Tamandua tetradactyla: one gene and its partners. The protein of the gene in region 1 binds, or shares a complex with, the protein of each later gene. Links are inferred from orthologs where the notes say so. Each region holds a gene or a part of one and is shown in the gene's direction. Other genes may lie near its edges.

Region 1 (7,605 bases):
AGTCATACTCATTTGTTAAATCCTATTTTCTCTGTAATAATTCCTCCTTCTCCTTTGATTCTTCTCCTAAGCTATAGGGATCTTTGGGGAATGCCCATTCTAATTTTCTTACATTGAGAAGGGGTGTCAAAAATAAAAGATGGGGGATGTAACTAGTCTTGGAGATTGGGCCCTCTGAGTTTCAGGATTTATCTGGCCTAGGAACCCTCTGGAGGTTATAAGTTTCAAGAAAGTAAAACTAGTGCATGAAACTTTATTTACAGAGTCTCAGTTAGAGCCCTAGGTGTTCTTAAGAGTTTACAGGAATGATGTTGGTTGGGATTTGGCAAGCCAAGGCAATTAGCAATATCTATCTGAAGCTTGCATAAGAGTAGTTCCCAGAATAGCCTCTTGACTCTATTTGAACTCTCTTAGCCATTGAAACTTTATTTTGTTACACTTCTTTTTCCTTTTGGTCAAGAAGGTGTTGATCCCCTGGTCACAGGACCAGTCCCATCCCTGGGAGTCATGCCTCATGTTGTAAGGGAGGAGTGTACTGATTTTAATTGCAGAGTAGTACTTAGAGAGAAAGAAGCCATATCTAAGCAACAAAAGATGTTTCCTGGCTGCAACTCTAAGGCCTTATTTTAGGTAGTCTTAGCTTCTCCACTACAGAAATAAGCTTCATAAGGGCCAGCCTCAAAATCAAGGGCTTGGCTTGTTTTCTTGAGAGTCCCCAATATTTGTCAGGAGTTTCCCAGGTGGGAAAATGTAATAATTTCATGTTTTTTCTTAGGTCCCTCAGGGGACTCTACAAATACTCTTTAATTATCAGCCCCTGTGCTGGTTTGAAAGGATGTATGTCCCCTAGAAAAGCCATGTTTTAATTTAAATCCCATTTCATAAAGGCAGAATAATCCCTATACAATATTGTATGTTTGAATCTGTAATCAGATCATCTCCCTGGAGGTGTGATTAAATCAAGAGTGGTTATTAAGATGGATTAGATGACAACATGTCTCCACCCATTTGGGTGAGTCTTAATAAGCTTCTGGAGTTCTATAAAAGAGGAAACATTTTGGCGAAAGGAGATTGGGAGAGAGCAGAGAATGCTGCAGCATATGAAGCATGAAGTCCATCAGCCAGCGCTTTGGAGATGAAGAAGAAAAACTCCTCCTGGTGAGCTTCATGAAACAGGAAGCCAGGAGAGAAAGCTAGCAGATGATGCCATGCTAGCCATGTGCCCTTCCAGCCAAGAGAGAAACCATGACTGTGTTTACCATGTGCCTTCTCACTTGAGAAAGAAACCCTGAACTTCATTGGCCTTCTTGAACCAAGGTATCTTTCCCTGGATGCCTTTGATTGGACATATCTATAGACTTGTCTTAATTTGGACATCTTCTCGGCCTCAGCAGTGTATATTAGAAACTTATTAAATTCCCCTTTTTAAAAGCCATTCTGTTGCTGGTATATTGCATTCCAGCAGCTAGCAAACTAGAACAGCACCCCATAGTCTGGGATGTACCCAGGTATTACATTATATCATACAGAATTACAAGGCCTCATTCTCATTCTGGGCACCATGTGTTCGGGTTGTTTAAATGAGCTATAGAGACAAGTTCAATTAGATTGTGTGTTACATAAACTTTAGGTTCTAGATACAATAAACCTGCCTTTGGTCTCATATGGTAGGTGAAGCTCTAGAGTACATACACTATCATCTTTTCCCTGTATTCTCATTTACCTTAGTTCTAGCCAGATCAGCTTTGTTTTTTGTCTCTAATTGAAGCCTGATCTCTTTATCAGTTACTGTTTTTGTATGCAGCAATGTTGACTTTCAGAGTTGCAGAACTCCAGCTCTGAGTCTTAGGTGTCACAAAAGTACTCAAAGTTTCAGGGAAACACCAGCTTATGCATATATAGTTCAGCAGTTCAAAGTTTAGAAATATACTTACAACTTCAGACTAAGTGTGGCTGCTAAATGAGCTTACAATATAGGCTCTAATTTTCTTATATTTTCTGAAAAAGACCATAGCATAATTGTTCTTTTGTTTCTGGCTTATTCTGCACAACACACTATCTCCAAGGTTCACTGTTTGTTGCATACCTCATGTTTGATGGACATCTTTCTTTTTTTTCACTGACAAGCCAAAACAACACACAAGCACGAACATTCTTAACATACAAATGTTCCATACATGGTATACAATCAATGGCTCACAATATTATCACATAGTAATATATTCATCACCATGATCATTTTTTAGAACATTTCCATCACTCCAGAAAAACAAATAAAAAGAAAAAATCTCATATATATACCATACCCTTTACTCCTCCCTCTCATTGACCACTAGTATTTCCAATCTACCCAATATATTTTAACCTTTGTTTCCCCTATTTTGATAGATATCTTTTAAAAATGTATTACCTACTTCCTTGCCTTGTTGAATACAACCCTATCTCAAGGGCTAAAAACCATACTGATGTCTATGAGATTCTTTGTCCTTCCTAAGCTATCTAGCCTCAGATTGCTGCTGCTTTTTCTACTGATTTTCCCGTTTTTGGTATTGCTTCAATTATTAGCAACAAAGCAGCTCATTCCTCTCCTTCCCCTCAAATATCCTGCTGGCCATAACTTGTTTAAAAAACAGTAAAAGATATTTTAAAATTTAGAACATTCTTTGGTCTCAAATATTAATAGTCTGATTCCAAATAGACTTTTCAACCCTATTTCTGTTCAGACCCCAATGCTAAAGTCAGAATAAACAACTACCATTCAAGTGCTTTCTCTGTTCCACTCCTCTGCTAAAGCCGTTCTTTCCACTTGGAATAACTTTCCTATTTGCTCCTTCCCACTCATACCTATTAAAATCCTTCAAGGTCCCACTCATGTACTATCTTCCCCATGAAGGTATTTTGACCACTTCCAGTGGTAGTCACCTCTCCTTTGATCTCTTATAATGGCCATTATCTCAACTACTCAGGATAGAAATTATATGCTGTAGTTATTTGGGTTTGTTTTATGTCAACCAAACTAAGACCTCCACAAAACAGGAATTAAGCTGTTTTATAATATATTGTGTTCTTTCAACAAATTTGTCCACTATGTGCAAAGTACCCAAGAAATATCTGAACGAACAAACACAATTCTGTCATTTGGCTTTGGATGAATGAGCCAATAAACTCCAGCTCTTCTTGTGTTTTTATTTTTCGTTTTGTATGCTATAAGGCAGGGTCACATTTCATTCTTTCTCCATGTGAGGATCCTGTCATTACAGCACCATTTGTTGAATTTTTTGGTTTTCTTTCTTTCTTTGCTTGCTTGTTTGTTTTTCAGGAAGTACACGGGCTGGGAATCAAACCTGGGTCTCCCGCTTTGCAGGCGAGAATTCTACCACTGAACTACCCTTCCACCCCATGTTTGGATTCTTGTGAAAACTAATTTTATTTACTTCTGAGATCGTTGTATTCCAGACAGTTAATAATCATCTAGATTATAATAATCATACTACATCACCATCAGATTAATAAAATATATTTCTGGATTGTATCTTTTTTTTTTTTCCCAGCTTGGAAATTTAAGTTATTCAATCAAACCTGAATGATTCTGTTGGTTTTTAAAACAGCCTAGTTTTTAAAAATGCTCCAGGTAGCCATTATTGTTCACAATCCCCATTTAGTAAGTTATCTTTTCGTTAGTTCCCTGTATTCTTGTTAGTTGTCAATGAACAGTACAAGGTTCAGTGTGCCTAGCTTTCTTCATTTATGTACATGTGGACGGGAATAAGAACCGGCAGGAAGTTTCCCGCGTTTGGATCCGTGCTTCCTTCCCCACAGCATAACTCCAACCCAGACAGTTATTGTCATTTGGCTTCTCATTGGTCAAGGTTCTTCGTGAAAAGAGGCAAGGGAGAAAACGGCTGAGACCAGGTTTTGCATGGGTCGCCTCCGCCCTTCACGGAGCGCCATCCAATTTCCCCACCAGCGCCGTGTACTCCACTCCTCCTGCGTCTTTCTCTTCCAGTGCATGTGCCAGCAAAGTCAACTGGGTTCCAAGGGTAAAGACGTTATAGTACTCATATCATTTGACAATTTATAATCCACACTTGCGCTTATTTCCTTCCAGCTTTTCGACAGCTCTGTGAGGTAGGCGTTATTCTCATTTCACAGAAGAGGGACCGCTCATGAGCTACTGGACTGCCGATATTAAATATGGACTCCGTCACCACTCCCAATATTAAATTTCAGGGACAGTAACCACGGCCGGAAGGTCCACAGTAACCTCCAAGCCTTCCCCTGCCTGAAACTTCCCCAGATAACCGCCCCACCTCGGTGGCGCGTCCAGGCCATGAAATGCCACCATCTACCCGCACGCAGGTGCGAGGCACGGCCTTTCTGCAGCCGGAAGCGGGGAGTTTAAGGGGAAAGGCCGCCCACATCCCCTAACCCCAAGGTTCCTGCCCAAGAACCCGGATTGGAACCGTTTCTGCTGACTCAGGCTTCCAACGCCCACCTGAACTCAGTCATCACGGCGGCTCCCAGCGCCTCCAGCCCGCCCCTTCGCTCGCAGGCCGCTCTAGCCGCGCGCGAAGCCGCGTTCTCGTTGCTCCCAAGCTGACGTCATCGGCGGGCGCCGCGGCGAGGTGGCGGGCACGCGCCCCCGGAAAGATGTCTCCGACGCCGCCGCTTTTCAGTTTGCCCGAAGCGCGGACGCGGTTTACGGTGAGCCTCAGAGGAGGGAGGCTGGGGGGCCTGACCCGGCGTTGCTGTTTACTCTTCTTCCCTTCAGAGTACTTGATTTTCCTCCCGGGCTAAAGAGAATTAGAAGTGGGTACACCGCTGCACTGCTCCCGGCCCCATCGGGCGCGGGGGTGTGGGTGTGGGGACAGGCACGCTACTTGGCTCTCCCGCTTCCTCTGCTGTCAGCTCTCGCCGGCTCCTGGGCAGGTGCCACGACCCTATGCTCTGAGCGGCTCTGCGCGGTGCATGGAGAGCTCATCCTCAGGACGCCTCCTGTCTTGGCCAGCTCTTCCTAATAGCTCGCTTAGCGGGACAGGTGTCTCCAGAACTGGAGGAGTTGCTGCTGAGGGACAAGGGTGGGGGTGGATTCAGTCGGAGAACCAGCTCCTGTCCGTCCTCGTAAGCTGCCAGGTGTTTGTACCGCCCACCCATTTTACCGTTTTACCCCTCCGTATCTCACTCCTTTGAGGTAGGGTGATTGTACTCTGAATGGGAAAAGGCAAAGAGAGATCTGCTTGGGATTACCAGATGTCATTCCAGCCTTGCACATTGGGGAAGGATAGTTTGAGGGGTTGGAAAACATCTTTCAGAGCGCTTTCATGTTGACCGACTTAACTCTTACAATAGCACTGTGAGGTAGGCTGTTTTTTATAACTCTTGTTATAGATATAGAAATTCACCCGCAGAAGTTGTGATTTTTCTTCACAGGTTTTTCTGGTTCCAGACCCAGTATTTTTTTATGTTGCCCATCACATCCCCTAGTATAAGGAAGCACAGTAGTAAGTTATTTGTATTCTTCTTTAGCCATATGCGCCGATATTTGAAGGCACGATTTAACTAACTCGGATATTTCATTATGTTTAGGTAGTTATAGGGATGCCAGAATGAAAATTCTGTGAAAGAAAATTGATTCTTTGTCGTCAGTTTTCTTGTTTGTGTGGTTTTTCTCCATAGAATGTAGGGTTTTTTGTTTTTTGTTTTTTGTTTGTTTGGTGTCTGTGTGTGTTTTAACCGACTGGTTAATGTCATCAGAACTCTTTTCCTTGAGTGCATTTTTCTGTAATCCCTAGTGCTCTGAAATTCTGTTAAGAGTAACTGTTAGGAAGATCACAAGAATCCTGGAAGGGACCATTTAATTTGAGATCATCTAGTTCAGTGCTTCTTAAGTTTTAATGTGCAGTGGAATCACCTGGAGATCTTGTTAAATACAGATTCTGGGTCTGGCATGTGGTCTGAGATTCTTCATTTCTAACAGGGTCTCAAATGATACCATTGCTGCTGATGGTAGTAAGAATTTACTGGTGAGGAAAATGAACACAGAGAGACTAAGGGATACGCTCAAGATTACACAGCTGATTAGTGACAGAACCAGGAATGGAAGTCTCTAGTATAAATCTAACTCTTCTGGGGTAACAGGATGAAAAGTCAAAGTTAAAACATGAAAAGAAGGAGCCATTTGAAGATTTTTTTAAAAAGCGAAATACTATCATGAAGGTGATATTTAAAGGGGTGGTGAAAGGGGAAACCTGGAGTGAGAGAAAGGTCTTGCTAGGAAGCTCTTGCCAGGTTTAAAGTGGCATTTGGGATAGGGTTTCCTGAAAGACTGATGGGTGTTTTTTACCCCGGTATTAACATTTTTTAGTGCAAAAGACATACTAAGTTATATCAATGAATGATTTTCGGTAAATTGGAAACAAAATTTTTCCACTTTTTGCCGTTTTAATTTTTCTAGAAGTCTACCAGAGAAGCCTTGAACAACAAAAATATCAAGCCATTGTTAAATACCTTCAGCCAATTACCTGGCAGGTAAGTCAGATATTCATGAGAGGTGCTTGGCTGAATCTATATACTTAACCTGAACTGTTTTAAAACTGAGGTTGCCTTTTGTTTTTAATAGTGAAAATGAAAAAAAATGTACTCTTGACCAAGCTTTCAGAGGAATTCTAGAAGAAGAAATTGTAAGTATGTTTTTCTTTTATTCACTGTTAAAATTATACCAGCAAATTAATAAACTATGTGTTATTTAAAAAATTGCCTTTATTTTAGAATAGATATTTAAGCATGATTATTTTTTCTAGAGGATGCTTGCTACTTTGTGAAACTTGACTCAGTCGTAGTATAGGAGTTATGTAACACTTAAGATTTTGACAACACAGATGCATTTAAGAATTTGGTTTAATACATGAGGCAGAGCCCTCTCCAAGTGAGTAGAAGGAAAGTTGATCTGAGGTTTTACTAAACAAGAACTAGAGGTTTGAGGTGGGTCCTCTCACTTTGCTGTATAAACAGCAACGTATGCTATAGTAGCGTGAAAGGTTCTAGTCCAAGGACATTCAGAGTGGGATCTGGGATTCCGTGCCCTCATTTTCATATGGCATCTTCCTCGTTAGTTTGCATACATAAATAGTTAGAGCCTATCCAGCTTCAGTAGAGGAATTTAATCTAAACACCACTGGTGGTGCGCCACAATGAAAGAAAAGGAAAAGTTTCAACAGTTTATTCTTGATTTAGTGAAGGTTGGTCCCTAAAAGTTAAAATCCCTTTTAGCAGTCACAGTGTCCCTCCCTCTGACAATTCTGGATCATACTTATTTTTTCTTCTTTTTCAAACTTAATTGTTTAGAGGCATTGGACAAGTTACTTTGCTTTTCTGTGCTTCAGTTTCATTTGTAAGGGGAGATAACATTCTTTCAAGGTTGTTGTGTTAAAGAAAACTTGTAAACACTCAGTGGATACTGGTTTTTATAATTATAAAACCCAAACACTGCCTCCCTTCTATTAAAACCTGTTTTGGGGTGGGCAGTGGTGGCATGGTGGCAGAGTTCTGGCCTGCCATGCTGGAGAGCCGGGTTCAATTCCCAGTGCCTGCCCATGCAAACAAAAA
Region 2 (7,471 bases), on another chromosome or scaffold:
GTGGGGAGAGGACAAGAAACTCCATTTTTGGTACCTTATATGTCTCTTCCTTTGGTTGATCTTAACTTATATCCTTTCCCTCTAATAATTGTAACCATGAGGACAGTTCCGTGTACTCAACAAGTTCTATGAATCCATCTAGTGAATTGTTCAACATTGGGTGGTGTGGGGAATCTCCTGAACTTGCACGTGGTGTCCACAGTGAAGGCAGCCTTGTGTTGACTGTGATTTCTCTAACTTGGCAGTCACCCTAACTTTCTAACAGTCACATCTAAGTTTGAGTCTTTGCTCTGTCAAATACCAGTTATGTGGCCTAGAGCAGGGCATTTTACCTCTTTGTCCTTTAGTCTCCTTACCTGTGATAGGAAGGTATAAATCCCCAGCGGATGTAGGAAACCGTTGTAAGCCAGCATATGAAAAAGATTCCTGAAAAAGAAGGGTAAGGAGGGAAACCTGGACATGAAAGAGACTCCTACCCCAAGATTTCAGTGACTGCAGTGGTATTCTCTGAAGTATAAAAAGCTTTGTAGTCTCCAAGGATTTCTGGTTGCAATAGAGTAGAGAAAGGAAGAGGGTAAAGAAAGGACCTCATTTTTTAAGGCCCTTCTAAGAGCCACATGCTTTTTATGTGGACTCATTGAGTTTTCAGAACTCTGTGACACCCCCACCCCCACCCATGTGGCTAATAGAAGTGTAGACTGTCAGAACCTGTTTATAGGTGTTTTGGCAATATCTAGCCAATTAAAGTGCATATGTGCACAATGAAGTTTGTATATAGATATTCACTGCAATATTGTTTGAAAAGCAAATTAATAGATGCTAAATGTCCATTATGGGAATCAGTTAAGTAAACCATGATACATCCATATCATTAAAGACTGCATCCAGTGAGAAGAATTTAGCAGCTATGCATATACCAATAAGGAATGGTTTTATATATACATACATATGTATGCGTGTGTGTGTGTAATGATTATGTATACTAGGAATGGTATATCAAAAGCAAGTTATGTAAAGAATTCTACACACATCTACCTACCTCCTCCAAGGTGCTTGCTTACACATACACTATCTCTGGAAGGCCACCCAAGATATTTAAACATATTTGCTTTACAGAAGGGGAATTTGGGAACAAGGGAGAGAGAGAGATTTACTTTTTACACTGCTCCCTTTTGTGCTTTTTCCATTTGTTACCAAGTGCATGTTACCTTTATAAAACCAAAAGCATGTGGCTCTTAGAAGGGCCTTAATAAATGAGGTCCCTTTCTTTACCCTCTTCCTTTCTCTACTCCATTGCAACCAGAAATCCTTGGAGACTACAAAGCTTTTTACACTTCAGAGAATACCAATGCAGTCACTGAAATCTTGGGGTAGGAGTCTCTTTCATGTCCAGGATTTGGAAGGAGGTGGGCAGAACTCCTGAGCTATCCTGCCACCTTGCCTTGCCTCTGCCAGGGTCATGAAGTTTTTCTCTGTGGTGAGGGAGGGCAAGTGGACCACTGCCAACGCTGAGGGAGCCATGGTGATGCCAGCCCAGCTTCTCCTCTCCCTGCCAGCCCCGACTTCAGCTGCTCAGGCTGCTGGAGCCAGAGCACAGCCTGGGCTGCTTGAGAAGCTATCTGGAGGACAAGGATGAGGAGCTAGCAAAGGAAGAGGAGGAGGAGAGATAAGCCGCGCTTATCGCTGAGGCTGGAGGGATGCCAACTGGACTGGGAGGCTGAGCAGGTGCTCTTGATTATCTTCTCTGGGCTGACCCCACACATCTTGTGTTCCATTTGTGAAGGTTTCTTAACAGACGCAATTATGTCACAAAATGTCTTCATATGTTTTGTGAAAGCTGCAATGTAAGACATTTTTACTATAGCAACAGATTCTAAAATGCAACATCATCACAACCTCTTTATAACATACGGTGGACAGTTACCAGATATAGCTTACAAATTAGTGGTCCATCCAGAGGAAAGAGATGAAAAAGCAAATGCATGATTTCTATAAGGCCTGGAAGTACCTAAATCTGCTGCTCCACATCCAAAACCTTCAAGTAAGGGAAGATCTAAGAAAATCCTGGAATCAGTGTTTTAGATTCTACCTGAATTTGATATTGTCTTTATTACTGGAGTTTACTGGTCTAATGAATGCACAGGACAGTTTAAACATTTAGAAAATAAATGTGCCCAAGTTTCAGAACTTGAAACTAACTATTGGGCATGCAAAAAATATTCCTCAGAAGAAAAGTGGGTCTTGGTCCAGCTTGTCAAGTAGCTGTCACCTGCCGTGGTCACTTGTTGGAGCAGTACCAGACTCCAAGGCAAATCTGACATGTGATAGATGATGCAGTTGTTCAAGGTGGTCTGCTTGTCCTTCACTATGGTCTTGTTTTTCTTTTCTGAAGATAACTTGAAGATTTTAGGAATATTATGAGGAGAGAAACAAAGCAAGGAAGCCTCTGAAATACTGCATTTCACCAAAGATTTATTTGATGTTATTACTATCAGTTCATGCTGTTTGAATTAAAACATCAATTTTCAGCACCAAGAACCAGAGTATTTGTAAGTGCAACTTGGAATTAGGGCAGCCATCTATTTTTACAAGAGACTGTATATAAAAAGCATCCATAGCTCAGGGAACACGTTCCAAAACATTTAATAATAATAATAATAAAAAAAAACCTTGTCCTTTCAAATACTTTGACACTGATTTTGCTTCCTCATCTCTGAGGCAAATGAGTTACTGCTTTCTTCATCGAGTCATGTCTTTTTCAAGTTGGTGGTTGGAGTTCTCAGGGATGGCATCAGTTCATCACTCATCCTTTCAGAAAAGAACTATGTTTCTGAACTGAAGATACAAAGTCTGTCTTTGTTAAACTACATTTGTGTTCTCAGACAAAGATAAGAATTATGATCCACTTTTGCATATCGCCATCATAGTTTGAATATATACATACAGTAGTAAAATGTACATAGCATGGAATTTTCCATTTTATCCATTTTTAAGGGTACGAGTCAGTGGTATTAATTGCATTTACAATCCCGTGCAAGCATTACTACTGTCTATTTCCAGAATTCTACATCATCTCAAACAGAAACTCAGCACCCATTGAGCAATAACTCCCCACATTTCATTGCCCCCGAGACCCTAATGACCTTGTTTTTTAAAAAAATCCAGGCAACACTATTAAAGAGATGCTAATTTAAATTTAAAAGGGATGAATTAACATCATTCTGTGTGAAGAATGTGGGGTTTGTGGCCTGTACCATAATCCCTCAGTGTAATAAGATTTCCCTACTATATCTTACAACAAAGTGTGCCTCCTTTTTATTCTTTGTCTCATTAACATTCATTTTATTTGAATACATAGTGGTCATTGATACCTTGTAATGGCACTACTTCTGAGAGTAATAGCAAATTTCAGGTGAATCTGAGAAGTTTACAGAATACTTATTCATTGTTTCCTCGTTAAGTCAGTTAAATGCTATTTTCCCATTATTTAATCAGTGGTATAAAGGATAAAGGTGTTTGTAAGCACACTCACTTGCATGCAAAAGACATCAGTTTTAAGCACTATTTTGCTTAAATTTAGCATGGCAACGTGCTCTAAAGGAAATATTCTGTAGACGTTGTTTCACAGCCAAATTTCCAACTCTGTATAGAAATGATTACAAAATTGGACAAGTATTGGCAACTGTTTTGTAAAGAAGTTGAGTCAGGTACATCTTTTTAAATTTAAATAAAATTTGTTTTAACCTACAAAAATTGTTCTTTAAGCTTTTTAGAGATAATTGTAGATTCACTAAAGACGTGTTTTAAATCAAATTTCCATTTGCTTCCTCACCACCGAAAACTTCCCGCACCCACAACCCTCCTCTAGGGCCTTGATGAGGGTTGGCAGCTCACCATCTCCGTCCAGCAAGCAGCCGCGGGACAGCTAGTCTAAGGGAGGGGTGCCGACAGGGAAACGAGTGGATGGGGTGGGGGGCCCCGGGTGGACATTTACTTTTCACTTCTATATCCGTCATAATCAAGTGTATGTTGTATCTTTTAAAACAAAGGATTTGTTTTTAAACAAATCGTCAGGTTCCTCCTCAAGACTTCTCCCCTCCCTCCGCATAACTGGAGACCTTTTCCCGAGTCAACGCACTGGCGGGTCTTTCTCTGAGCCTTTTGGTCTAAAGGGAGAGGGTGAAATTGGGAACAATGCTAGAAAAAAAAGGTATTTTATTTATGGGGAAACGGGTTTAGAAGGGTAGGTTTGGCTCCCTCCCTCGATTAAATAGGGATTCATATATAACTACCAAGGAGTAGGGGAGGAGGACGATAAAGCCCCTAAAATCCTCTGAAGATTGTAAGGTAAACGTGAGGAAGACTCGCCTGTATTTGAAAGCGCAAAGGCGCGCATGCGCTGCATGTCGGGATTTGCAGCCTCTTACGAGACGGCCCTAATGCGGCTGCGCAGAGGCCTTCTGGCTTCCGGGCGCATGCGTACGGCGTCGGCGGCGTCCGCGTTGTAGTCCTCAGGGATGTCGGCATGGCTGTCCCTGCGGCCACTATGGGCCCCTCGGCCCTGGGCCAAAGCGGCCCCGGCTCGCTGGCCCCCTGGTGCTCAGTGACCAGCGGCCCGTCGCGTTACGTGCTTGGGATGCAGGAACTGTTCCGGGGCCACAGCAAGACGCGCGAGTTCCCGGCGCACAGCGCCAAGGTGCACTCGGTGGCTTGGAGCTGCGACGGGCGCCGCCTGGCCTCGGGGTCCTTCGACAAGACGGCCAGCGTTTTCTTGCTGGAGAAGGACCGGTTGGTGAGCTTCCAGGGCCCGGCCTAGGCCAGGAGAGGGGCTGTGGTGGGAAGGGAGGTGTGATGGCGAGGAAAAGGGTGAAAGGGAGGGTGGCGTGAGGAGGGGCGAGGGAAGAGAGGGGGTGTGGAGGGAGTGTGATAGTGAGGAAGGAATGTGTGCTGAGTGGATGGGTGCAGGTGGGGAGGGGGATGAGGACGTGATGAGGGGAGGACTGGGGTTAAGTGGTGTTCGTGATGAGGACTGGATAGGGGCTGCAGTGGTAGGGTGGCGGGGTTTGTCACTGGCGGTGAGGTGGACCTCTATGAAAGTGATAGGGCGTCCTGGGGAAATGAGCAGGTGCGCTGCGGGCTTTGGAGATGGAACAAGGATGGAAAGCATGAAAGAAGGAGGAAGGCTAGGGATGGCAAAACGGTAAGAACATTTTGTGTAACCCATCCTCAAAAAAGTTCAGAGTAATTGAGGAGTAGGGAAGGGGAATATTGAGAAGAGTTTTTGAAGAAAAGGCTGGGAAGAATTGGATTCCTTTTAGTTATCCAGATCCTTTTTGGTTGCAAGATAGCATGGATTGAAGAAGATTTAGAAGTTACACGTGGAGGGCAGGTACATCCATGTGAAGTGACATCTGAATTCTATTCTTTCAGGTTAAAGAAAACAATTATCGAGGACATGGGGATAGTGTGGACCAGCTTTGTTGGCATCCAAGTAATCCCGACCTCTTTGTCACTGCATCTGGGGATAAAACCATCCGCATTTGGGATGTGAGGACTACAAAATGCATCGCCACTGTGAACACTAAAGGTGACAGTTGAGAGGGAACAGTTGGGAGATAAACTACTTTTAATCATTCAACAAGTATTTACTGAACAGCTCCTTGGTGCCTGGCTCTGTGCTTGATGTGGAACATCCTGAGCTGAATAAGAGAAAGGCACATTCTCCAGCTCTAAGAATCTCATGCCTTGTGTGAAGAGACGTATGTGTTGCAAAGCTAACATAATATAAAGTGTTCTTCTCGTAATGGAAATGTCTATAAAATGGCTACTCAGAATAGACATGCTTAAGACTGCTTAAGACAGGAAAGGCCTTACAGAACTTAAGCTGACAGAGTATTCATAGGAATTTAGTGGTCAGGGTACAGTGGGAGAGGAAGTTATAGGGAGGGGGCATGGGAGAAGCAGTTTTAGGAGGAAATAGCATGTGCAAAGGTATGGAGAATTTGGGAAAGTATTGATAGTTTAGAATGGCTGGAACTTATGTTGTCTTGGTGACCTAGGAGAAAATGACCAGAAAGTTGTACAGTGCAGTTACAGGCTCTGTTCTTCATCAGACACTGTCCTGTGAACCTTGAGACCATTTATTATATTTTACTGGCTTTAAGATGTCTGGTTATAGGATGCACCGATATGTTATATACCCTTAAGAAAGCTGTCAGGTAACCATGATACACCCAAAATTATGGGATGAACCCTAATGTATTTTAAAATGCATCATAGATATTACAATTTGAACAAATAGGCATCTTAGAATCTGTGAGGTTGATTAACTTTTTAATTGATGTGCTCATTGGAGTTTGTTAATAAGAGTTATACCTGAAGGTGAAATGGTTCAGTACTTTCCTGAAGTATACAGCTGGTGGTGCATGAAGGATTTAGGTGGTATATGGAATAACATTAAAATAAGGTTGTGTATGTATTTTAATATCTGTTAGAAGAAAATAGCCATTCGTAGAGTTTATTGCTAAAAATGAAGCTAAATTTGTTTAAGTAAAAAAAATTCTGTTGTCATTTTCAAAAACAATATTGAGTAAAGAAAAGTATAGCTATTAATACATGGATAAGATAAAAATTGTGAAGGTGGCATGTGAATGAAAAGTTTGGGAAAAGCTGGTATAAGAGAGAATAAGGGGCTTTGTGATCAAACCTGGGTTTAGAACTTGATTCTCTCACTTAATGCTTTGACTCTTTGGTTAGTCTCTCTTATCTTTCATTTGTTCATCTGTAAAATGAGTATAATATAGTATACCTTTGTGAGGACCAAATGAGGAAATCCCCTTCCCCTGACTAGGACATCAGTGAATGAACCTCTGAAGGACAGCTGTGGTCTTCTTTCTAGAATAGCAAAATAATCTGGAGGATTATGGACGAACAGGTTATCATGCTGATTATATCTGGCTTCCCAGGAGAGAACATTAACATCTGTTGGAGTCCTGATGGACAGACCATTGCTGTAGGCAACAAGGATGATGTGGTGACTTTCATTGATGCCAAGACACATCGTTCTAAAGCAGAGGAGCAGTTCAAGTTTGAGGTCAATGAAATCTCCTGGAACAATGACAATAACATGTTCTTTCTGACAAATGGCAATGGTTGTATCAACATCCTCAGGTGAGGGAATTCTAACTGAGGGGATTGTCATGCCTTCTATTTTTTAACTTTTTTTAATGAGAGAAGTAGAGGGTTTAATGACATAGTGCATAAAATAAAGGGTTCCCATTATCACCCTTTATTAATACCTTGCGTTAATTTGGTGTATTTTAAAAAATTGATGAAAGCACATATTTATAATTATATTATTAACTGTAGTCCATGGTTTACAGGTTCATTGTTAGTGTTGTATAGTCCCATGGAATTAAAAAAAAATTTTTTTATGATAACATACAATCTGGAATTTCCCCTTTTAACCACT
Region 3 (7,579 bases), on another chromosome or scaffold:
GTGCAATAGGCTGCATCCTGCAGAGGAAGGAGACTTTTGGGCAGAGTCAAGCATGTTGGGCCTGAAGATCACCTACTTTGCACTGATGGATGGAAAGGTGTATGATATCACAGGTACACTTCTGTCCTCTAGAAGTATTGACCCATACTTCCTGATCTCATATTTGCTTTCACCTAATGTTTTGGCTAATTATATCATATGTTTGCAGAGTGGGCTGGATGCCAGCGTGTGGGAATCTCCCCAGATACCCATAGAGTCCCCTATCACATTTCATTTGGTTCCCGGATCCCAGGCACCAGTGGGCGTCAGAGGTAGGTGGTATTTCTCTTCAATCACCCATCCACTATTCTAGTTGTGAATATGGTTTCAGATGACATATTGTTTAGGACATCTAGCAGGAAGTTTAGGAACTCAGTCTTGTTAACTCAGGTAACCAAATGACTCTAGCAACATCTCTTGCTTCATTATTTCTTATTTCTCTTTTAGAGCCACCCCATATGCCCCTCCTGCTGACCTTCAGGATTTTTTGAACCGGATCTTTCAAGTACCACCAGGCCAAATGTCCAATGGAAACTTCTTTGCAGCATCTCAGCCTGGCCCTGGGGCCACTGCTCCTTCCAAGCCTAACAGCACAGTACCTAAGGGAGACGCGAAATCGAAGCGGCGGAAGAAAGTGAGGAGGCCCTTCCAACGCTGACACCCCTTCTCTTCTTTCCTCAAATCAGTGTCAGGGAGTCAAAGGGCTGTGTACAGCACAGGATGGAGTTTGATTTGTTTATTTTTAAATATTTAAAAAAGGGAAAAGTTTAAGCTCAAATTGTTTACTTAGTACTTGTAGGAAGTCCCTGAACCACTTGCTCTCTTCCCTCAACACCCAGGAACTGAATCTTGTCTTCTGGCAATACCAAAGAAATAGGAGGTGGCTAAAAGCAAAGAACCTAGGGCCTCAACCTTGACTGGACAATATATCCTATAGTGGTGTGGGAACTGGTTATTTCCCTGGGGTCTGTATGCCTTTGTCCTGTCTTTTGCTTTTAGAGCAGATGACACTTTTTTTCTTTTTCTCTTTTTAAACTGAGTTTATCTTATTTCTTGACCCATTTCAAGAGTGAATTCCCCCACCCTCATCCCTATAGACTAGTTAAAAGACAGAACAAGAAAGCATGTAGCCCAAATTATAGGAGATGTATAGTTCAGAGAGAGAGAACTCTGAGTTCTTCCATCCACTGACTTTCACCTTTGTGTATAATCACCTAATTACAGGCTTGCTGTTGCTGCAGGGATGGCCAAAATTAATCATTTTTTAAAAGCAGACTCATACCCCTCTGCCCTTGGGTGAGGGGGAAAAATAAGGGGGTTCCCAGCAGCCCCCTTATGATCTTAGGGTTTGTATTTTTTAAGTTTGTTCATATTTGTATGTACATATCTATTTAAAGCCAGGGGATTATCTTTCTATAAATATATAACTGGCAACCTGTATTTTCCCTCTCTTCTTTGTCCATTTAACTGTAGTTCTTTTTCTCATTTGAGTACTTTCCATAGTTAGCCGAGAGTGAAGGGCACCCCCTATTGAACCACGGGAGAGAGGATAAAAAGTAGTCTTAGAGAAGTTAATATAGTAAGTCATCATTCTCTCTTTCCCTACTTTTCCTGCCAACCAATTGTAGCCATATCTGAAAAAAAATATCTTTATTATAAGTAAAATACACAGCAAAACAGAGCTGGAAAAGGGGTGTGTATGTGGAAGATATGGAAAATTTAATCACCAAATAAGCTGCACATACATGGTTCCTGCTGTGGAGATTTGGCCCTTGTCTCACCTGCCTTTGCTGATTCAAAGAAACCTACTCCTAGCAGGGTTGGGCCAGGGAGCCCCATTTTCCAATCTCTTCTCTTCCTGGGAGTTTGGGAAAGGTTGTACAGTTCTCAGTCTTTCAAGATGAAGATAATATAAAGAAGGAGGAAGGATGTTAACAGCCCTTGTTCCAATGTCTTCTCCATGCCTACAGAGCTGTTCCCAGTCCCCTCTCTCAATATTTGTTGATCCCAAAGAGACGAACCCCGTGGAATTGGGGCAACTTTGGCAGCAGAACACTGAGTAGCGAGGCTGTGTTGATGAAGAAGTGAGCAGCATCATACTTGGTGTAGAAGCTGGCCAGGAGGTAGCTGGGAGAGAAGAAAAAGAATGAATTCATATTAATGTCTTTTCAGTGACTTTCCTTTTATATTTTAAATTACCAGTTCTACTGCATATAGTCTTAGGACATCTGAAAACATTACAGCCATAGCAACACTATTTATTTTGGGGTTGGAGAGATCTTAAGATAGCACCTTTAACTGGAGATTATAAATCAGATTATGTGTTTCTTCATTGTTAATGACAGGTGGCAAATGACAGCTGAAGCTTTTTCAGCCTATATGAATGTTAAGAGTCTTAATTTGTTTCCAGTCCCCACAGTTTTCATAGATTCACATCAGTCCTGTCTCTATTCACTTCTGTTTGGAAGTGTAAAGTCATTTGATTTTATTTGGTGTTTCATCATTTTTCAGTCCCTTTCCATTCTCCTATCATCAAGGGAGGCAGCAAGGAATGCTTAATTACTAGCTTCTACTTTTTACTTCTTTCCCTAGTAACTAGTATACCATGATATTTCAGATAGGTAGTCTGCTTTAATGCCTCCCTGTGGGTTTTTGTAGCTGGCTTTTTAAAGTGCTTTCCAATTCAGCATTGCCCATTACCCCTCCTTTCCAAACTCACAGTATAATAGGAGAGATGCTAAGGAACTTGCGGGAAGAGGTAAACTGGAGCCCATAGTCCATCTGCTCCCAGTGTGTCAGGAGCCGTGCCTTTCCTTGGTCAGGGGTCTCAAAGGGTGTACCTTTCACCGTATGTAGAAAGACATACATAGCCTAGGAGAGAAGGGACAGGGTGAGGGGAATAGAAAGTAGTCCTTCAACTCAAGAATTCTGCTAAGGTAGTAAATGGTTGATTCCTAAAGGAAGGCAAAAATCCCCAAATAATTGGGAATTTTATTATTTATTAATTGATTTATTTTTGTTGGGGAAAGCTTGGGGTGGGTGTAAGAGTGTGGTTTAGTGCTTACCAAGTTATGAATGACATTGGTCAGGGTCCAGACCACAGGAATGCTGAAGAAGGGGATGCTGAGTAGAACTACATGCAACAGTCCTACCAAGATGATGTAGGCCAGCCAGATGCCACGGCTATTCATCACTCGAGTGTTGGGATTTACTTCACTGTGTGCCACCCCCACATTCATCCTATTACAGTTGGAGAATCAGGCAGAAATATAGTTCAATTTCCTCTAAGCTCCTTTTTTTTTTTTTTTTTTTTTTTTTTTTAAAGGAAAGACAGAGAGAAGGAAGGAAGGATAGAAGGAAGGAAGAGAGGAAGAAAGGGAAACATCTTTTAAACATTTTCTTGTTTTATTGTATTTTGTTTCTCCGTTTTCGTTACATGGGCTAGGGCCGGGAATCGAACCGAGGTCCTCCGGCATAGCAGGCAAGCACTTTGCCCGCTGAGCCACCGCGGCCCGCCCTCCTCTAAGCTCCTTTGAGCTTGTTTCCCAATTGTTTCCTGAATAGCCAAACCCCCCTGAACTCCACTGAGAATGAAAGAACTTTCCAATCATGCACAAAGGGAAAACTATAGTCTTGGGGAAAATTTTCAAAGGCAAGAAGCTCACCCTACATTTTAGAGACATATTATTGTATTTTTTCTGATTCTCACAGTTCAACTTAATGTGAAGTATCATGCCTAGGCTTGGGGTACCTGCTTCAAGGAAAAGGAGACACTTAGGAGTATCTCACTTTATTATCCTGAAAAAGTTAATAAATCAAGAGAAGTTACAAATCTAGATTTCCCAGAGGGTCCTGGGATTCAATCAAGGAGGGCTGAGGAGGTAAAGCTACTCCTAGTTCCCATCTTCTCCTCTGGGGCTTGTCCACCCTGTCTCATTTCCTTTGCACGTAAGGAACAAACATCCTCATTCCTTCTCTCAAGCGTGGGGTGCTGCAGGAATTTCCCCCTGGGCTTCTAAAGGACTAGAAAGGGACCCAAGTTCAATACCTCGAGGCATGGAGCCCTAGCCCCTACTCTAGGGTCGGTTCTGGTCCTCTGAACTCAGCTCTAAAACAGTGCAAGTAAAGCTGACGACTGGTTAGGAAGTGGCCCTTGCCTGCCACCCCTCTATCTAAAATTCCCTAAATCCTAATATTGACCCCGTCCCATGCTCTTCCTGGCTTCCCTCTATTATTAATCGATTCCCCTTAGGGAACCCTTCAGAGCACCTCCGCCACTTTCCTTTTGTCTCTCCATTTTTACTCAGTACCCTCTTTCCAGTCTCCCGATAACGCCTACCTGCCAGCTTCAGTGGCCCGTCCGGCCTGTGCACGGCGCTCGCTTCCACACCTCTGGTCTCCAGGAAGCAGCAGTCCTCCGCCTATTTGCATTCTTCTTATTGGTGGAACAGAATTAGCGCTGCCACCACCCATTGGTTGGCGGTGTGCAATGGAACACACAATTGGTCGCCATTTCCGTCATTTGGAGGGTGCAGAACCGGTCCTTTTCCCAGTCCCACCTTTTGAGAGAGGTGGGGATAGTTGAGGAGGGAGCTAGAGCGACGTCAGCTATTAACTAATGGGAAGAGCTGATGGTGTGGGGTGGAAGTAAGAGTGACAGCGATTGGTCGGTCATGGTTCTGCGCCTAGGCGGGAGCTCCTGGAGGCGGAGGCAGCGAGTGGAGGGGGTAACAAGATGGCGGCAGAGACGGTGGAGCTGCATAAGCTGAAGGTACTGCGAAGCGGGGCAATGGTTGGGTTGGACATTTCTAGCAGCTGAGTTTTGCACGGTGGGCTGTGCCTTCTTCTCGTTCTCTCTGCAGTCTTTTCTTTTTCGTTTTCCGGCTCGTTCCGTAGTTAGCTGGTTTTTCTTTTGTGCTTCCCTTCTTCCCCGCTACGCCTTCCCTAATTTCCCATTTCTCCTTGCGGTTTTACTGTTATCTTTATCTGTTATTTCGGCGCCCTGGCTTTCTTGGCTGTACCATCCATCACCTCCCTTTCTCGTCTCTTGTCAGCGCCCCATTACGTCAGGGTTTTTCTTCTCATCTCCTCTTGCCGGAACCAGGACCCCTTTTTCTTCCTTGGGTTGATGTTTCCCTGTCTGTTGTCTATAGCTGAGATTTCCCTGTTAGCTAGGCACCTTTGTTTATTTCTGAGTCCCAAATGTGATCCAGAAAATGCTTCCACTCCTTTTTCTAGTGGGTTTACGCCCCCTTGAGTGAACTTTGAACCCTAAGGCCTTAGGCCTCCGGGTTGAGGCTTGGGCTTCAGGAGGGTTTAAGAGTTAGTCAGTGCACTGACACCTTAGATTTATAAGTTTTTCGAGTTGTCTCACTTACACCCTCCCACCCCCCACCCCACCCCCCCGACAGCATACACATACATGCTTCCTCCGAGAGAACTTACAATAGCAGCCCTGTAGAAAAACAACTCCAAGGCTGGGGTTGTTTTTGTCTCATTTCATATCACCGTTAGATCCTGCATCTCTTGGTGTCACTATTTGGTGGCACTTCGAATCACAGAACCTATTTCAAGTTCTGTGTCAAGTTCTGTGTCTGTATCAAGATGTGTCTTTTGGGAATCTTGATAGCTTTTTCACACTTAGATTATCATTTACCTGGAAGAAAAAGTAGGTTCTTTTAGGGTGAATTAAGAGAGTGGCTTTATTAGTTGGCCGGTTGTGGCTTCACAGATAGTTTTCTCATCACATGTTTTGGTCACTTAATCTTGGGTCTTTTGGACAAACCAGGCTGATTTAATCCACAGCTGAAAACTGATCCTTCAGAGCTTGATGACCAGTAGTTTAAGGGGGAGAAGAATAGGGAGAGAACTTCTTTAATCACATGTTAGTTGACACTAGTTAGCCTTTCTTTGAAAGCTGATGTATTTTTAACCTTGGATTCTAAATTTTATAGTGAGTTTTTTTGTTGTTCTGGAGTTACTGTTAAGTTGGTGGTACTGAAACATGTAAATTATATCAGTGTTCTAATATTTATCATGATGAATAGAAAAAAATTGAGCAGTCATTGCTATTATGTGTATACTTATTCATATATAAATTACATAGATACTACTGTATTGTTATGTATGTTATAAAATATACATTAAAGAGAATTTTTGAATGAATGGGCTAAAAAGGAAATATGAATTGAAGATCTAGTATTTTCTTCTTATTTATCCCATTTTTGAAATCCCTGGAGTAAATTACTAGCTTCCCCTGTGACTTGCTTTTATGGATGACAAATCTGTTAGATCTGTATTAAATTTGCATTTGTTTGGTTAAGTCACTTTTACAAAATGTCCTCTCATCTGATTTCAGGCATTATAATTTAAGAGAACTTGAGGCACTCCCGACAGCCTGAAAAGGACTCACTCTTTTAATCACATTTGCTTGTCTTTGCTTTTTCTCTAGAGCACTTCTTAACCTTTTGGAGGTCACAGATATCTTTGAAACTCTGATGAAAGGTATGGACCCTTTCCCCAGAAAAAGGCATGTACACGTATTTTGCATGCAATTGAGGGGCTTCATAAAACTACTTTGTAGCCCTAAGGAGTCCATGGACCTCTGGTTAAGAACCCATACCTTTAATTCTGACTTCCAGGTTAGTTAATGTGTGGTTTTTCTGGTAATTTTGATGGAATAATCCTGACTTTTGCTTTGACTTCAGGTTTTCTCTTTTTAAAGAAAGTCTCCATTTTTATAAGGGACTTTAGCATGGGACCTCAAAGGAAGGGAAGAAACTTTGAAACAGAAAGAAAAAATATATATTATCTGTTCGAATTGATGTGAAAGTCCATATTGACTGCTGACTTCTGAAGTCTGAAGATTTTACAGAAATGTGGTCATTTTAACACAACTAGAAAGAGAAAGAATTGTGGATGAAAATGTCTTTTAAACTGTAACAGTACCAGATTTCCAGTCAAATGTGGAAAAAAGGGTTCTTACAGAGGGGAAAACAGTGAGTCATTTGTATCATTGAAGCATAATGTACCCATTATGAGTGGTTAGAGGTTGGAAGGAAAAGTAGGTGAACTATGTGCCTATAAAGGTTGAGTAAGTGATACTATAAAGGGTCTTACCAAGTCGTGTAGGGCATATGGCTTTTGTCGTGTAGGCAGAAGGGGCTAGTCTTTGGAAATTTGAAAGGAAGAGCCTGATGTGACCAGTTTATTTTCTGTTGGTAGTATGGAGAATGGAGTCTGCAGGGGGAGCGATTTCATCAGTTAGATGTTTAGTATAATAGTCACTACTCTGCATAAAACTTTTTATGATATCCCTATTGGTCTCTCCAGCTTCGTTTCTCACAGCCCAACCACATTGGCCATATTTGTTTCCTCATAATATCTGTGTTCATTAACAGTATTGATGGAAGCTGTTTACATATGATAATTGATTGGTTGAGTTCTCACAATAGCCTTAAAAGATAAACGTCACTATTATACTTTTTTTTTTTTTTTTTTTTAAAGGAAAGACAGAGAGAAGGAAGGAAGGAAGGAAGAA
Region 4 (7,043 bases), on another chromosome or scaffold:
AGCCAGGAGAGCCTCTCTGAGGGAGTCAAACACAAGGCTAGGACTAAAGGAGACAAGTAGGAGCCTGCCATGAATTGCTGGGGAAGGGCATTCCAAGTGGAGGGAACCAGCACATGCAAAGGCCCCGCAGCAGGGAAAGGCCTTCAGGGTTTTGAGGAGCAGAAGAAAGGCTAGTATGGACAGAGGGGGGCAGGGTGGAGGGAGATGGAATAGGAGAGGGGGGAAGGGGTCAGATCATTCTGGGCCTGGCAGGCCGTGGGGAGGAACTGGAATTTATTCTAAATGCAACAGAGGCTGCTGAAGTGTTTTAAGTGGCAGCAACATGACCTGATTTATGTTCTGATATAATACCTTGGGCTGCCGTGTGGAGAATGGTTTATAGGGGAGCAAGAGAGAGGAACATAAGTCCAAGCAAGGGGGGATGGTGGCCTGACCCAAGACAGAGGCAGTGAGGATAATGAGAAGTCCACAGATTCATTCATCTAGAGGTAGAACCAGTGGGACATGGAGATGAATTGTCTTGGGTCATAGAAGAAGATTTCAGAAGCCTTCCTAGGCTCCTGCTTGAGCAGTTATAAGGACAGTAGGAGACTGGGGTGGGTTGGGTGTGTAGGCAGGAGCGAGTTGGAGGGTAAGGAATACAATTTTGACCCTCAGGAGTGTTACGTTTGAGATGCTGGGTGGACATCCAAGTGGAAATGTCAAATGGGCATTGGATATATGGGTCTGGAACCCACAGGAGAGAGCGGGGTTGGAGATATAAATTTAGTAGTTGTCAGCATATGTATGGGCTGGATGAGATTGTGACAGTGTTTTGCTATCAACCTGAGGTGCGTGGGGTGGAAGCGATGGCAGGCAGGGTTTGAGACAGTGGGAGGAGGGCCTTGGGCTAGGTATGGGATCAGTGAATGAGTGCATGCCTTTCTCACAGCCTATAAAGACCTGCAGTCTCGGGAGGAGACTCGAAACGCTGCCTGGAGGAAGAGAGGCTGGGATCAAAATGTCTACTACACAGGTAAGGGCTGCTTCTGGGGGTCTGCGAGGCTCTTGGAGGTCATCTTCCAGGAAGATGAAATCCTCTTTCCAAGGAGGCCTAGCCTGGCTTGATTACCTCCAGTGATGGGGAGCTTACTTTCAAGACAATGAGCTAGTAAGTTTTTATCCTGGAGGCACATGTGATGTAGGCAGTTGTAGGTGAGTGTTCCATTCCACCAGCAGTCCTTCCCTCGACATGGAGTATCTGAGCACCCACTGTGACCTCGGGTACAGTTTTTAACTTCGCTAAGGCTGTTTTCATCTGTAAGATGGTGATGGTGCCTCTCTCAGGGTCAGGCACAGGAAGCACACAGCAAATGGGGCCTGTCATTTTCGGCTCCAGGTGTGTGCCACTTTGGCGGGGACCCCTTCGGACTACCTGGAGTCAGTAGGTGTTGATTGAGCCCTCACTTTGTGCCAGGGGCTGCAGTGAGTGAGCAGGGTGTATAGAAATGAACAGGACCCTGCCTCTACCCTTGGGGAGCTTACATTTAAGCTCACGGACATACTAACTGGTGTAGGGGAGATGTGTCTGCTGGAGGAATTAGCTGGAACCTCGCTACTGAAAGTGCAATTCCCGACTAACAGTATCACATCTCCTGGAGGGGCTTGTTAGAAATGTGGCATCTCAGGCTCCCCAGACTTACTGAATCAAAATCAGCGCTTTCATAAGAACTGTGGGTGATTTGCCTACACGTTAAAATTTGAGAAGGTCTGAGCAAGGGGAAAGAGTCTGACTCCCTGGGTGACCCTGGGCTATTCCTGAGCCTCAGGGCTATAGCCTCCCTAACTGAAAATGAGGCCTTTGGATTAAATCTGTGTGTTTTCAAACTTCAACCACTCAAGGACACTCACAGACACTCAACAGCTTTTGCCCTATAGGCATACTACCACCACTACAATTTTTTCTTGGTATTTTCCCCCCTACTTCATTCTTTGACTACCTTTGCCCTCAACAGTAATATCTGCAAAATCACATTTTACTCTGCTAGTTATTTTGTTTCCTATACACAGAAAAATAAATATTTAATTATGAAAAGTGTTCATCTCATCACCACCGGAGTCTCTCCTTTCCCACAATTTGGGAGATCTGGCTATCTCCATGGATTCTTCCAGGAGAAGCTTAGCCCCTTCCAGGGCCTTCCCCTCCCCCCGCCAGAGGTCAGTTAGGGGCGGGGGTTGGCTCATCTCAGTCCCCTTCCAAGACCTCTGCCTCTCTCTCTCTGCAGTCCCCCTGGTGCGGCACATGGAGTCTCGGATCATGATCCCCCTGAAGATCTCGCCTCTTCAGTGATGCTGCCACAACCTCTGCCTCCTTCCCCTTCTCCCTCTGGACAACCATGGACAGTGGAGCTTCTGGTCCTGAACTTTGGTTTCTTCTCAGATCTGGGGGGCTCTCTGGGGCTGGTGCTCAACTCAGGCGAGGAGGAACCGAAGGATATTGGGGCCTGTGGACTGGCAGCTCTGCACAGACTCCACCTGCCATCTGCCCTCATCCTTCCCCTCCTGCTAGAAGCAGTTTCCAATTTTCCTGAGGGAAGAGCAGCAGCCTTTCATGTCTTCCCACCTCTTCCCCCAAGATTCCTCATCTTAAGACTCCCAGCCCCTGGTCATCAGCACAGGAATCTTCAGTTTAGCTTTAGTCATACAAAAGTTAGTGTCTGGGGGTTAGAGGTAAGTTGGGAAGGAAGGTGCTGAGAACCAGACCAGTCACTCAGCAATTCCTTGGCCTTAATGGGCCACCCACATGCTGGACAGTATGAGTCAAGTCTGGGGACAAGCTTAGAGCTGCTGAAAACCCTCAGATCCGCAAGATCAGGAAGAGGTCAGGACTTAACACCCAGGAAGGCTAGGAGAAGAGATTGGGGCCTGAAGGATTTGGGAGTGGGAGACAGATGTGAAACAGGGACCCCCAAAAAGCAGAACTTAGAATTCAGAACTTAGGTTTGCATCATAAAATTTGGAATTTGGATGTGGAATCCAGAATTGGAACAAGAAAACAGGTATCAGAACACCACTTGGGGAGAGATTACAAATACGAGGTGAGTGGGGAGAGGCCCATTCGTTTTTCTTTAAGTAATAAAGTTGAGAACTTGAATGGGTAACTTCAGCCCTTCTGTGTAGGCAAAGGGATAAGGCAGAACCTGTAATTCCACCATTTGAATTCCTTCTCCCTCCCTTCATCTTCTCATTCTGCTGGGCCACCTGGTGCGTGAAGTGGGTATGAACCCCTGGGTAGCTTGATTCTGCCTCCCTTCGAAGAAAACTTGTGCTACAGTTTCTGGTGGAACCAATTAAATATTTACTATAAACCTTGGTGTCTTTTTTTCATCTGCAAGGAACTTCGGCACGTTTCTCATTCCCTCCTAGCTGATATGTCCCCTGGAGGGTTTTGTGTTCCCTGAGCCACTCCTAGGCAGGGCATTTTCTGCTTTCCCCGGGGGCAGAAGAAATTGACCCTGTACAGCTAGGGATTAGGACTAGAATGTTCCTAGCTCCAGGTAAGTAGGATTACACGAAAAATCTTACATCCTTTTTGTATAACGCATGCCAGAACTAGGAAACGCTCTAAATGACCGTCCTGGGCAAATCAGGTCTAAAATAGGGAAACTTGTATTGGGAAAAAAACGAGTGTAAAACGGGGTTCGGGCCCTTTCTGACCCCCTGCTCTTTCTGATGTGGGATGTTTCCAGAGCCTTGTGCTTTGGAGCACTGAAGATGACAGTGGTTAGAAAACCAGGTCTGGGAGGCAAATAACTGAACTCGAAATCTTGGCGCTTCCACCTTGTGTGATTTTCAGCATGTGACAAGTCAATCAGACAATTGTGGAGCGCCCACTAGTTGCTGGGGGACTGCTTCAGGCGCCGGGGAACGATGCATAAACAATATGCATAGGAGTCCCCCTTAGAGCCTCCGTTTCCTGGTCTTAGAGAGTCGTTGAAGGGCTGACCATCCCAGACCGCCCACAGGCACCTGCTCTCGACTCCTCACTTCCGGCCTCCGCGCCGCGCGTCTGACCCGCCGCTCCTTCCTTCCTTCCGCTTCTCTATGGTGCGCCGCCGGAAGTGGGTAGATCGGGACTCGTTCGCATCGCTGTGCGGTGAGGAGGGGACCAGGGCGGGTGACAGGGTGGTGAGGCCGGGCGAGGGGCCTAGCACGGGACAGAGTGCTCCAGGACTAAGGCGCAGACCACCCGAATGGCGTCCCCTTACCGGATCCGATTTGGATCTCCACCTTCACTGTCCGGGGTTCGCGGCAGCTCGTGTCCAGCGCTCAGTTTTGCTCATCTGGAGGGTGTTCGCTGCGGCATCTCCAAGGTCCCCGGTGTAACCTCGAAATGACTGTGTTGACGATGGAGATGGTGGTGGTGGTGGTGGTGGTGGTGGTGGTGATGGTAACGGTAACCGCTCACGTTTATTGGGCGCTTTCGTGTGCTGGGCGCTCTTTACGTGTCATCAAAGTTAGGTATCCCACACTTAGGCCTTTCGGATCCTATCTTTGTGGGGTCTGTCAAATCAGTATATCATCTGTCTGTACGACTACTGACTAAAGATTTTAAATTGAGTCACTTTTTAAACTTGTTTACTTTTAAAGGAAACTTTAAGTCTTTATGTTGAATGGAAAACTGCTTTCGTTTGTCATATGTAGGAGAAAATGACAAAAACAATATACTTAATATGATGATAACAGGTCCTTGTTAATAAATTCTGGCCAGATTTCATTGTCTATTTAAGGCCCTGAGGCAGAACCCTTTACAAAGAAGTGTTAACATTAGTAGATGTTAAAGACACACCAGGGGACTGAGCTGCTCTCCTTGAAAACAATCAGAAGATTCAAAAAAGGATTGAAAAGGGGGTTGGTTAACTTTCTCCTTAGATAGTTGTCATTTTTAAAGATCACCCGTGCACCTTCTAAAATCTTATCCCCAGTCCCAGATCATCTTCAGCATCTCTGTGTTAATGCCAGCAAAAATCCCCTGAGGTAGGCACTGCTATTCTCATTTGATTACTGAGGAAATAGACCCAGAAAAAAGGCGACTTGTCCTGGGATTTGTACCCAGAAAATAATACATTAGACACTGCAACTCAGGGTTCTCTGACTCTGTCATGATGTGCTATTGGCTCCTTCAGCAGATGTTGGTTGATAAATGGATTGGGGTCAGAGGGACAGTGCTGCCCACCTTGGACCTCTGGTGGCAACCAGGAGAGCTGGCAGATGTGAGGGTGCTTTGTCAGCCCCATGAAATACCAGGTTTAATTCTTTTCAATTTTAGCGTCAAGCAGGGAGTTGTTGAACTGGAAGGCACAGCCATATGATTGTCAAGAACACTGATAGGGCATTGATGAACTCACGCTTTATCATTTACTAGCTGTGTGATCTTGAGCAAGTCACTCACCTTTCTGAGCTCCAGTTTTCTCATCTGTAGAATGGGGATAATACTAGTTCTTATCTTGAAGAGTTTGTTGTGAGGCTCAAATGAGACCATAGCCAGAAAGAGCTTAAATCAAGGCTTAGCACACAGTGATCAGTCAATAGGGAATGGGAATGGGCTTGTATGCTTCCAGGTCGAGAAGTCTGGATACAATTCAGCTACTTTCTGTGGAACACATTGCCAGACTCATGGAGGATTGGACAGAGCTCACAGTCTAGGTGGGGAGGGCAGGTAAAGTGTTCAGTAATAGCATGTGCACAGTACCTAAAGGAGGGAGCGCCTTGGGGAGACTCGAATGATTTCCTAGAGCAAGGAAGCATTGCTTAGTCTTGAGAGAGGAAGAAAAGAAAAAAGGTGATTTCAAGCAGGGGAAATAATATGGAGTGTTTGGGGAGCCAGGAGTGGTACATGCACTTGCAGCCAGGAATAGAAATTGGGGAAGGTGGTGGGGAAAGGTATAGAAATAGGATGAAAGAAATGTGTTTGGGAAGGTGGGTTGGAGACAGATCATAAAGGGTCTTTATGCCAGGCCAGGGAATGTGGATTTCATCTGGTGCATTATAAAGGGCCAGCAAAGGTTTTGAAACAGAGATCAGGTATCAGATTGGGTTTTTTTTTTTTTAAAGGAGTTTAGACAGCAGTGGTTGGGCAAGACTGGAGGCTGTTACAGCGGTCTTGCAGAGGAATTCAAGGGCCTGGCCTAGGGTGTTGAGTTGGAGAAAACACATGGTACCTGCCATCTCAGTGTGAACACTTGGTTGAGAGATGCTTCTTTGGAGAGTGTGAGCAGAATGTGAGTATGGAGCAAAGGAAGCAGCTAAAGATGATTCCGAGGATAGTTTGGACAGCAGAGTGTGTTATGATGACTTTAAAGGAGGTGGAAGTGGAGAAGAAGAGTTCATTTTGGACAGGCTAAAAGATGATTCTCCTTTTTTCAGATAAACTGAGTTTTAGGACTTTAGGAGGTTTAAGTGGCTTTTTTTGAGTTATCAAGTCTATACGTGGCAGAACTGCTAGTTAGACTTCAATATCCTGACTGCAGGAAATCTCAAAAGCTTTTTCCTCTTAGGAGGTCTCTACTGTTTACTGCTGAACCCACTGAACAACCATGTCATCAGAATCGAGCAAAAAACGGAAGCCCAAAGTAATCCGAAGTGATGGAGCCCCAGCTGAGGGGAAGCGCAATCGATCTGAGGCAGAGCAGGTAAGATCAACCAGTATTGCCCAGCGACTGAGAAATTGCAGCTTATGGCCAGGCCCCTGGCTGTGAGTCTGTAGCAGCCCAGGATCGCACCTACCAGGTGTCAACCTCCCAGTGGCCTCTGCTTGACCAGGTGACTGGAATTCCCTTGGCTCTATAAAACCTGGAGAATCCCTACCCACTTTAATTGTGGCATCCTAAGTACTGACTGACAAGCCTGTAGTAGACGTGATTCTTGCCTGTTCACATCAGTGCAGTGTGTGTCTTCAACTTTCCTGGTCTGAAGACAGTCTATTGCACACCGCTGGAGCCCTGGAGATGTGGCCTGCCAGGGTCTACTCCCAAGATACCAGAACCACATGCCCATAGAATCTC

Evidence for each region.
Region 2: THOC1 (region 1) and THOC3 share a complex: the UniProt entries of both Homo sapiens proteins name them as parts of the transcription/export (TREX) complex. The link is inferred for Tamandua tetradactyla from reciprocal best matches to the Homo sapiens genes THOC1 and THOC3.
Region 3: THOC1 (region 1) and SARNP share a complex: the UniProt entries of both Homo sapiens proteins name them as parts of the transcription/export (TREX) complex. The link is inferred for Tamandua tetradactyla from reciprocal best matches to the Homo sapiens genes THOC1 and SARNP.
Region 4: the proteins of THOC1 (region 1) and THOC5 are in contact, whole or in part, in a cryo-EM structure (PDB 7APK), measured with the Homo sapiens proteins. The link is inferred for Tamandua tetradactyla from reciprocal best matches to the Homo sapiens genes THOC1 and THOC5. Residues at the interface, in NP_005122.2 of Homo sapiens: Glu60, Arg145, Arg146, Leu147, Ser148, Ser150, Gln151, Lys285, Met286, Leu289, Val296, Tyr297, Phe298, Leu302, Ser304, Leu307, Leu310, Gln311, Ser313, Asp314; in NP_001002877.1 of Homo sapiens: Tyr52, Arg113, Lys120, Asp124, His127, Leu128, Gln131, Asn132, Leu134, Tyr135, Glu136, Met138, His139, Thr145, Lys146, Glu149.

What each region holds. Positions count from the first base shown.
Region 1 is NC_135344.1:63,220,703-63,228,307, reverse strand, and holds the start of THOC1 (THO complex subunit 1), read left to right. Parts: upstream 1-4,598; 5' UTR 4,599-4,650; coding exon 4,651-4,704; intron 4,705-6,454; coding exon 6,455-6,528; intron 6,529-6,619; coding exon 6,620-6,680; intron 6,681-7,605. UniProt on the Homo sapiens protein: Component of the THO subcomplex of the TREX complex which is thought to couple mRNA transcription, processing and nuclear export, and which specifically associates with spliced mRNA and not with unspliced pre-mRNA.
Region 2 is NC_135346.1:57,496,561-57,504,031, reverse strand, and holds the start of THOC3 (THO complex subunit 3), read left to right. Parts: upstream 1-4,470; 5' UTR 4,471-4,525; coding exon 4,526-4,792; intron 4,793-5,430; coding exon 5,431-5,587; intron 5,588-6,965; coding exon 6,966-7,170; intron 7,171-7,471. UniProt on the Homo sapiens protein: Component of the THO subcomplex of the TREX complex which is thought to couple mRNA transcription, processing and nuclear export, and which specifically associates with spliced mRNA and not with unspliced pre-mRNA.
Region 3 is NC_135333.1:122,802,558-122,810,136, reverse strand, and holds the start of SARNP (SAP domain-containing ribonucleoprotein), read left to right. Parts: upstream 1-4,570; 5' UTR 4,571-4,774; coding exon 4,775-4,810; intron 4,811-7,579. Other genes in the region: ORMDL2 (ORM1-like protein 2), read right to left, coding at 2,031-2,166, 2,759-2,910, 3,105-3,279, 4,379-4,512. UniProt on the Homo sapiens protein: Binds both single-stranded and double-stranded DNA with higher affinity for the single-stranded form. Specifically binds to scaffold/matrix attachment region DNA. Also binds single-stranded RNA. Enhances RNA unwinding activity of DDX39A.
Region 4 is NC_135331.1:33,488,315-33,495,357, forward strand, and holds the start of THOC5 (THO complex subunit 5), read left to right. Parts: upstream 1-4,031; 5' UTR 4,032-4,135; intron 4,136-4,141; exon of another isoform or gene 4,142-4,352; intron 4,353-6,536; 5' UTR 6,537-6,575; coding exon 6,576-6,671; intron 6,672-7,043. Other genes in the region: NIPSNAP1 (protein NipSnap homolog 1), read left to right, coding at 932-1,015, 2,265-2,329. UniProt on the Homo sapiens protein: Component of the THO subcomplex of the TREX complex which is thought to couple mRNA transcription, processing and nuclear export, and which specifically associates with spliced mRNA and not with unspliced pre-mRNA.